Linked DNA regions of Arabidopsis thaliana. The protein of the gene in region 2 interacts with the protein of the main gene of each other region in a pairwise test. Each region holds a gene or a part of one and is shown on either strand. Other genes may lie near its edges.

Region 1 (5,475 bases), on a different chromosome or scaffold from region 2:
CTTTTGCGACATGATGGTGCAGCCTTGTGGGCAGTCATTGGATCGATTTCGAATTCTGCTCTCTCTGTAGTTCTTAAACGTATACTTAACCAAGAGAGGCCTACTACAACATTGCGATCTGATCCCGGGATGCCATCTTCTCATGCTCAATCCATTTCTTTCATATCTGTCTTTGCTGTTTTATCCGGTAAGCAGCTTAAGCTGTTCACTACTCATCGTTCGCTATCGTGGAACTGTTTACAACGGATTCACTCGAGTCGTGTTTTCTGCAGTTATGGAATGGCTTGGAACCAACGGTGTGTCTTTGTTTCTTAGCGGCTTAATCCTCGCATTGGGTTCATACTTTGTAAGTCTGTTATAACAAGTTTCACCTAATTGATTCAAGCTTTTCATTCATATATGAAATCATTTAGTTGCCATTGATCTCACACTCTCTGCACTATCACAGATACGGTTAAGGGTTTCTCAAAAACTGCACACAAGCAGTCAAGTGGTGGTGGGTGCCATTGTTGGTTCTCTTTTCTGCATCTTATGGTACACAATGTGGAATTCGCTTCTTCGTGAAGCCTTCGAGGCATCTCTATTAGTGCAAATATCTGTATTTCTGTTTGCAGCTACATTTGCGCTAGCTTTCGCAGCGTACGTTGTACTTAACTGGTTCAAAGACGAGAGATAAGCAATACCAAGCTTTACTTATAAAGCTTAAAATTGTTATCCCTCAAATTCTTTTCAAAATATCGAAATGAAGGATTCAGAGCCCGTTTGTTAAAATCAAGATTTTAAAAAATAAGGTTTCTTTAAGATGTAAGCAAGGCAAGCACCTTACACTAGAGCTAACATTGAATGTTAATAAGAACCAAACCGAACCAAATATTAGTGACTGTGGCTGCCACTCATCAGTATGCCACCGCAAGAAAAATGTGTTTGCAGCTACTCGGAGCTATACATCCTCTTGAGAACAGTTAAAACAATAACCAAATATGTATATATTTCTATTCACAAGGCGTACGCTAAACGTCCTGTATCTTTATTTCTCTTGCTTGCATCAAACCCACTACGTATACAAGAGACTTACTTAATCATTCATCCTTAAGAGATACTTCAGATGATGGTTTGGCTGCAGGAATGTAAGACCATGCCAATGCCGCGCTTCCTAGAGTAATGGTTGCTGCAATTGATCCCCAAATCCATCTCTGCCTCTTCTTTCTCTTCTGCCTCTCTCGTCGTGCCACCTCTGGTATCAACAGAGTTGTGAGATTAGATTTTTATTATACGATAGAAAATGACAATGGATAAATTTGGTGAATGAGAGTGATTTTCTACTACCTATGGCTTCTTGGTTTCGTTGAGACATCTCTCTGTTCACGGCCTCGTAGTAGTGTAGACGGTCAGACAACCGTGTGATTTCAAAGTTCTTAGTTTCGAGCATAGATTCCATCTCCATCTCTACCTCGGCCTTTGCCATACCTCTGCCTAAAGAGTCAGAGACAAACCTCGCAATCTCGAGTTGACAGCGTAGTTCTTCTGATAGATTCATGTTGTTGGTGGAGGCGGTAGGATCAATAGGAACGAACAGACCCACCTGAGCCATCTGCTCACGGAGTCTCTGCCAGTGAATTTGCATCTGCTCCAAAGCCTCCTCTGTCTGTTTTCTCTTCTCGATTTCCATTAGTAAACTCAGCCTTATCTCACTTAATTCAGATTCGATGTTATTAACTGAACTCTGCATTCCACTGTCGGTTGATAGTTCTGAAAAACCAAGAAATTAGATGGATTACAAAATACTAAATAGTTCCGAATCATAGAGTCGAGTTAAAGCTTAACTTTCAGGATACTTTGCAGATACTCATCAAGGGAAATGAATAATGCATTAATCATCATGATTTGGAAAGATAACTCATCACTTTCAAATTTCAATATATCCAGAAGAAAACAAAATTCCAAAGCATGACAAGGCGCTACTACTGCATATTAAAGAAAGAATACCCTCAAATGCTCAAAGGTTAAAAAGAAGGGACTCTAAAATGTGACTAATCATATTATCCTGGGAACGTTAAGATCATAAGCATTGACAGCCATCTCATAAGGAAATGATTAGTAAGAGAATAAGATTTAGATAAGTACCATCCCAAGCATCATAAAACTCTCCCACAGGTGTGGCAAGTCTTTGTGAACTTTCGTCCCCAGCATCACCCTCTACGTCTGTGTTACTTGTGAAGCTTGCTGATTCACCTGGGTCATAGAAATCTTCTGACTCACTCTCCTTGTCTGTTTTAATAGGGACTGGCTCAGACAGACCATTTACCCGTTCTAAACCATTAGCAGCGTTATCCAACTCTGACTTCCCATTCCCACTTTTCCCATCAAGCGGACTCCAATTTCCAACAGGACCATCAACAATACCATCAAAATTATAGTTTCCAACCGTACGAGCATGAACTCCATTGGAATAATCATCTTCAGTAACCTCAGTGATAGGAAACGAGAAGGAAGTGGACCTCCTCCGAGGGGAAACCTTTACATCTGTTTCAGCAGTAATAGTTTCCTCTTCCAGCGTCTTCTGGTGGGAAGAAGACACAACATTAGCCTCAGAAGAGCTTTTAAGAAGACGTGGAGGTCCACGTGATTTGTGGTTGATGATATAAGGCGACGGTGGGAAAGACGATGGCGAATTAGGAAGCGGAATCGCATCAGGTGTGGCGTAGAGAGCAGGTGACATCAGAGGACGAGTAACTGTCCTCTCATTAGGTAATTTACCTTTACCTTTCTCCAGTTTTGATATCGGTGGCTTTGAATAAAACAAATTAGTTGTGCTTGGAACACTCTCGACAGACGTGGAAGCCCCTGGCTCTAGCATTCTATCCAAAGCAATAGCAGAAAAAGTAGGCATGGCTCTGCAATCATTCAAGTATCAAATTAGTAATAAAAAAAAACCGAAACCACAAAGAGCGTTTCTTCATTTCAATCGAATCAGAAATCAACCAACAATGGTCATTCGCATAAGTGAGAATTAGCTATTGGGAAGGTACAAAGCAAACACCGCGTGCTCAAACCACAATCATCGGTATACCTAAACAAAACTTGATTCAATTCTCGCACGAAAAAAAGAAGCTAGCAAAATCAAATCACAAATCTGATAATCTAGAAGCTAACAATAGGTCAAGCCGATGAAAATGAATCGAATCTCTCGAGATTCAGACCTACCATAACGAAAATTTCCAGAAATTTCACCGAAACAACAAACAGAGAAAGGTGAAAACATCAAATCCGGAGGCGTAAGAGAAGGATTTACCTCGAGCGCGAAGGAGATCTCCACGGAAGAAAGCTGAGGAAGATTCAACGGTGAGAGATCGAGGTTATACGGAAGTAAGACGACGGCGGAGAAGATAAGAAGAAGCGTGATACGACATCGTTAAGAGGAGAGGAGGGAAGAAGAAGAAGAAGAAGAAGAAGAAGAAGAAAACCTCTTCTCCAAGGCTTTTTTTATCTCTTCTCAGCTTTGTATCTCCGCAAATATTTGAAACGCTCTGTTTTTTTTTTTTCTTCTTCTTTGCTTCTTCCTCTATTCTTGGCGACCCATTTTCTGATTTTCTTCGTTTTATTTTTATTTTTTTAAAACGTGTCTTTGGGAGACATTTGGAAAGACGGATATAACCTTTGACGGTAAGAGTTACAGCAAAGGACGGCGCTATACAATGAAGGGGTACTTTGTGTAAATAAATCGACGGTAGGGTTTCGTGAAGTGGTCGAAACGACGTCGTCCAAGGGATCTTGTTTAAGTGGGGTCACATCTCGAATATTCAGAAACGTCACTAAAACGGTGACGTGGCCTAAAAAGCAAATTAACCCATGGCCCAATTTTTGTCTGTTCACGAATCTGTAAAGCCCATTTTGAAAACGATTTTAAAAGTCTTTTTTTATTTTCTTGTCTTCGTCAAATCTGGGATTTTGATAATATTTTTAGAGCCAGGTTTTTCTTAAACGTGTTACGTGACCCATGTGAACACGCTTTTAATAAAGAGCGAGTATTCAAACTTGGTTAACAATATAGTTTTAAAAAAAAACTGGTCTTCACAAGAAATATGAGACTATGATCATATCTATTTTTTTCTCCTTAATATAATAATATTTTATTCGTAACTTTATTTTTTGATGAAAAGGGAAAATCAAATATGCATCTGTTACTGGAAATTTTGAATTTTTCTTCACTTTATTTTGAATTTGTTCTCACTTGATTTTGAATTCTTAAAATAAAAGCTAAGGTGGGAAATGAAGAATATAGAACATGATTCAAAGATATCAGCTCTGGGACCGCTTCTATATTAGCAACTACTACGAATTGATTCAGTTCATATAACATATCCTTTTAAATAAGAAAACCAAAATCAACTTTTTGATCATATATTAAAGTCAAGACCCTTGAACTTATCTTATTCTTCACGGAATCTCCATGAGAGTGTACAAAACACTCATCAATTCGTGCAAAAATGACTAATACATTGTTTGATGCATCTTTTCGAATCGAATCAAGGATTGTTTGGCTTTCTCATAGATTATATATTTGGAAAAAAAAGACGATATACAAATCTTTTATTCATTTTCCTTGACGAATCTATCTGTAATGAATCACTGGTGCGTTAGAACTCGGATCCCACACACCTCCTTCTCTCACATACTCCATATACCTAGCAAACTCTGGTTTCGCCGTTGCTAAACTCTTCTTCTTCGCCGTATTCTTCTTCTTTCTTTGAAAATGAACGTCAAAGAAACTAAACAAAGGATGAACAGAACCACCGGTTGGTTTCGCTGTCGGTGTCTTCTTCACTTCTTGAACCGGGTTTCTTGAATGACCATAAACACTAGCCGGAACGCTAGAGACCCTCTTCAGTCTCGCTTCTTCATCGCCGAGCTTTTCGTAGCCACCATGGATTTTCCTTGTGCTCATGGCTCTAAACATGGTGTGATGTGGTGTGGAAAAAAAGTGGAGTTCCTTTGTTTGTGTTTTAGGTGAGTTCTTGAAACTTTCTTCGTGATGGTGTTGATTTAAGTAGTAGGACAAGTTTGCTTTGTGATATGAAAAGGAAAATAGTAGATCTGTTTGACTTTTATTTTAATTATTGTTGTGTGTATGAGATCTCCAACTAACTAAATTAAATTTTTGTATATGTAATTAATAAAGCATGTGTTAGTGTTACACCCACATGATGTATACATCTTCTTGTTCGTCCCTATTAAATCGCCGGTCAAATGTGTGTTTATGCTGACTATTACGTCTACATCTTTTAGACAAATCAAATGGACAATGGCTTTAGAGTTTAGACTAATCTTCTTTGTCTGATCCATATCTAACAATATATTAATCATGGAAAAATCTAAATTTGGGGTAAAAGTAAGCAGAATAGATCTATTCTAGAATGCTAAATCTGCTCCTTACGATGGTTTAACATCAGACTGTTATCATGCATGTACATGATT
Region 2 (4,662 bases):
TCTATTTGGTCTTCAAAAATCAAAATTCTGTTGGTGGCAGTTTTTTTCCCAAACAAACCATTGTTGCAGTCAGTTGTATGTTTGGCATTGTTCGTAACTTTTGTTAATATTTCAATAAATATTAATTGTGTTATAAAAAGCAAAAGAATGATAAAGACGATATGAACTTTAGACCAAGGAGATAATATAACTTTTTTTTCCCTATACCAACTTTAGACTAACCAACACCTTGATTACCTATTTATTTTCTTGAGAGATTTTGTGTGCCACATATAATGGAAAGAATCATATTCTAGTTTAAAACAAAAAGCAATATGTCTTTGAATAATTAATTAATCTCCTATTATAATTATCACAAAAATAATTAGCGGTTTAGGTTCTCTAGAAATAACCTTTATTCAAAACTGAAGTCAGATACGACAAATTTATTGATGTGATATCATATTATTTTACGCATATTAACCTTGTCCGTTGGATTTGTAAAGTTGTAACGGTTGGAACGGATTTGCAAGACAATTTTTAACCATGTATATGATTTTTTTTACAAATAGTAATTGCATGTTTGAGGTATCCGATAAGCTTATTGGACAGCATAAACCTGAATATTAAAAAAATAGGTTTGAAGTAAAATAATTATATCTATTTTACAACAAGAAAAAAATGAAACTTAACGAATCTAACTAACGGTTCTAATTCATAACCCCAGAAAAACCTTCTCGGACCAATTTTTAAAAATCACTGAAAAAAATAATATGATCCAACAAAAGAAAACGGCTTAAATCCCAAAATCATATAAAAACTAATTGATAAAATACAAAATGTGGCTAATTCTAGAATCCTACAATAGATAAGGAACCAAAAGTTGTAAGGAAGAATGACAAAGGTAATGCTTGGAGACATCAGAAGCTCTTCTGAAGCCTACCTGCCTTTGTGTGTGGAGGAGAAGAGAAGAACTCTAAGCAGCTTTAGGCTTGGGAGTCCTCTTCTTCAGAATCCTCTTGGAGCTCGTTGTTGAATTCTTCATTCCGATGAAAAATAGCAATGCCCCGAGAAGCGCAACACTCTGTGATAAAACATTGATTCAAAAGAATGAGAATCATAGAAGAAGGTTCAGAAGAGCCATAAAGGAATATACTTTATTCAGACTAGGTTCAGCTCGAAGAACATGGCAAGAGCAAGCCAAAACGAATAAATGAAGAAAGGTGTATAGACAAACCTGCAAGAATTCAGTCAATAGAAGAGAGAATTGGCGGTCCTCGGGTCCATAGTTGTAGAAATCATATAAAATGGGACTGACAACCACCAAGTAGACAGCCTAATAAGAAACAAAGAATTGAAATCCAAAGTCAATACAACAACTTAACTTTTTGAATACTTAAACAAAAGTGAAGAAATCCTAACCAGAAGATAGGCACCAAAGATGTTGCCGATAACAAAGAGTAAGCCTCCTAGGCCTTTCAGAGCAACAATAGCCCACACGACTTGTTTCACCTTTCAAAATTAGTTTTCCAAGTCAGACGCAACATATATATATAGACAGCATAAGAGACATGAAGACAAGGAATCAACGCAATGGGCATACCTCTAAGTTGGGCAATGATACTCCCAATATGGAAGAGAGATGTGCTTTGGTCAGATCAAGCTTTGGAGCTAACTCTTTAGCTGCTGGACCACCGTCAGTTCCAAAGTCATTGAACCTAATAAGAATTCCAGAGAAGCATAGTTCGGATTTCGTAAGATAATCGACAAGGGGATACTTATAAAGCCTCTACACATATGACTAGTAAACTTTCAAGCAAACAGAGATGTGTATACAAACAATTTAGAGAGCTAAATGGTGTTTTTCAGGATGGAATTGGACTAGCAGAACCTAGAAACCAATCCACCGTATCTCACTTCACCATATATCAGACACAAATAGTGAAGAAACAGACTCTTGGTCATCTAAGTAGATAGAGATCATATGAACAACAGAGCTATTAAAAGGCTCAAGATCAGAGATACCACAGTCTCTTGGAAGCTAACTCTATTTTAAAAGCCTTAAAGAGAGGTTCTCAATCAAATCGGATCTAGCAAGATAAAATCAAGCAAGGGATTATTTAGACAAGCCCTAGATTTAACCCTAGATGTCGCTTAGACCAAATCAAACAGTTTAGCGGAAGATTCTCAATCAAATCGGATCTAGCAAGATAGAAGTTCATCGAAGAAGATGTCGAACCCTAATCCAATAACCGGAGAAACGAGAGAAGAGATGGAGGGAATAAAGAAGAAAAGACTCACATTTGCCAAGCGGAGAGGATGAATAAAGAAGCGAAGAGAACTCTTCCAAGAAAAGAGAAGAAACCCATTTTCTCTATGTCTCCTTGTGTCGTTCTAGGTCGCAGGTGGTCTGATTTGTCGTCGGAGAGACGGATCCTTTCTCGGTGTTAGCTTAAACTTCGGTTCCTCTGCTTTTGTCTTTTTTTTTTTCAGAGAGAAAAAAGATTAATTTATATAATTAACCAATTAAAGGTGGAAAAGAAAAGCTAAACCGAATTGAACCGAAGTATCTAAATTAAAATTTAAACCGAATTTTTATCATTTTTAAAACTCAACCAAGAAGAAGATGAAAAGGCACCGTCATGCTGACATAAGTTCCAGTCCCAATCAACAAAACCGGACATACGTTTTTGATCAAGCTAGAGCAGAATCAATTGATCAAGAACCAAACTAAACCAGCAGCAAAACAGGACGTACGTTTTTCAACCATACAATTCTCAAATTGTCGTTTCTATCTTGTCTTCTCTCACCACAAGAATGCAAAAACATAAATCCATTTTTCTTGATAACCTTCTTCTTCTTCTTTTTGTATATGTATGAAGCAGCTTTTTGTGAATGAATCTTCGAAATAGGTTAAAGAAACAAAAATGGAGACCAAAGAATTCGACTCTTACAGTGAGCGCAAAGCTTTCGACGAGACGAAAACAGGTGTGAAAGGTCTCATTGATGCTCACATCACTGAGATTCCTCGAATTTTCTGTCTCCCTCAAGGTTCCTTATCCGACAAGAAACCTTTTGTTTCTACCACTGATTTTGCGATCCCTATCATCGACTTCGAAGGCCTCCACGTCTCCCGTGAAGATATCGTTGGGAAGATCAAAGACGCTGCATCGAATTGGGGATTCTTCCAGGTGATCAATCATGGTGTTCCTTTAAACGTTCTTCAAGAGATTCAAGATGGAGTTCGTAGGTTTCATGAGGAAGCTCCTGAGGTTAAGAAAACCTACTTCACTCGTGACGCCACTAAAAGATTTGTCTACAATAGTAATTTCGATCTCTATAGTTCTTCTTCATGTGTTAACTGGAGAGACTCTTTCGCTTGTTACATGGCTCCTGATCCTCCAAACCCTGAGGATCTCCCTGTGGCTTGCAGGTAAGTAACTTACGGTTTTTCATTGAGAAATCTTATGAACCGTTGAGCGATCTTATGAAATATTGGCTCAGGGTTGCTATGTTCGAATACTCAAAGCATATGATGAGATTAGGTGATTTGCTCTTTGAGCTTCTCTCAGAAGCTCTTGGTTTGAGATCTGATAAGCTTAAAAGCATGGATTGCATGAAGGGTTTGCTTTTGCTCTGCCATTATTATCCTCCATGTCCACAACCTGATCTAACCATCGGCACAAATAATCATTCAGACAACTCCTTCCTCACCATTCTTCTCCAGGACCAAATCGGTGGTCTTCAAATCTTTCATCAAGACTGTTGGGTCGATGTCTCTCCTATTCCAGGGGCTCTAGTCATCAACATGGGAGATTTCTTGCAGGCAAGGCAATTTCTTCATTGATCCATTCTTTTAAACTTTATTAGTAAAATATACAATGTTGAGAATCTGAGTTTACCTTTGATACGCAGCTAATAACGAATGACAAAGTCATAAGTGTGGAGCACAGGGTGCTAGCGAACAGGGCAGCTACACCGAGGATATCAGTAGCTAGCTTTTTCAGCACAAGTATGCGTCCGAATTCAACTGTTTATGGACCAATCAAAGAGCTTCTCTCTGAAGAAAACCCTTCAAAATACAGAGTCATCGACTTGAAAGAATACACAGAGGGATACTTCAAGAAAGGCCTCGATGGAACATCGTATCTGTCGCATTACAAGATATGAAAGAAAAAAACAATTGAAAGAGTAAATCATCTCAAGTTTATTGTAAGATATTGGTTCGTTTCATGCATCTATTGGGTTCAGGTACTAGTCCAATTGTCAGATCTTGACAAATAAGTAAACCATTTCCTTTGTACCAAAAACAAAAACAACAAAGAAAGGTGTGTGTGTGTGTGTGTGTATAATTTTAGTGAATGCTTTAAATTGGGAATAAAGGTTCAAACTTGATCAGCATCTTGTCAATCACAGTTTCTTGACTAAATTGAAACTAGCAATACCAAAAGAAAGAATTATATACAAGCTAAAGTATAATCAGTAACCAAACTAAACCAGTAGCAAATGTTATTGAACCAAACAAAACCGATCAAAGATTGCTTGTTGTAGCCAACCAAGGCAAACCTGCAACCATTCGGTACTTAGCTCGCAGAAAACTGATCAATACTATCTTCACGGTCTGAGGATCCACGCCGGTTTGATTGCAGAAACCGATTTTAGGATTTACTAATTCCTACGCCG

Evidence for each region.
Region 1: the proteins of AT1G04340 (region 2) and AT3G50910 interact in a two-hybrid assay, tested with the Arabidopsis thaliana proteins (one large-scale study listed by BioGRID).

The regions. Positions count from the first base shown.
Region 1 is NC_003074.8:18,917,604-18,923,078, reverse strand, and holds AT3G50910 (netrin receptor DCC), read right to left. Parts: upstream 3,753-5,475; 5' UTR 3,293-3,752; intron 2,895-3,292; 5' UTR 2,891-2,894; coding exon 2,125-2,890; intron 1,750-2,124; coding exon 1,327-1,749; intron 1,235-1,326; coding exon 1,080-1,234; 3' UTR 778-1,079; downstream 1-777. Other genes in the region: LPPepsilon1 (Phosphatidic acid phosphatase (PAP2) family protein), read left to right, coding at 1-187, 273-346, 449-676; AT3G50900 (uncharacterized protein), read right to left, coding at 4,613-4,957.
Region 2 is NC_003070.9:1,162,390-1,167,051, forward strand, and holds AT1G04340 (HR-like lesion-inducing protein-like protein), read right to left. Parts: upstream 2,473-4,662; 5' UTR 2,349-2,472; coding exon 2,281-2,348; intron 1,698-2,280; coding exon 1,583-1,697; intron 1,492-1,582; coding exon 1,402-1,491; intron 1,316-1,401; coding exon 1,217-1,315; intron 1,064-1,216; coding exon 956-1,063; 3' UTR 516-955; downstream 1-515. Other genes in the region: AT1G04350 (2-oxoglutarate (2OG) and Fe(II)-dependent oxygenase superfamily protein), read left to right, coding at 2,907-3,412, 3,484-3,805, 3,895-4,149.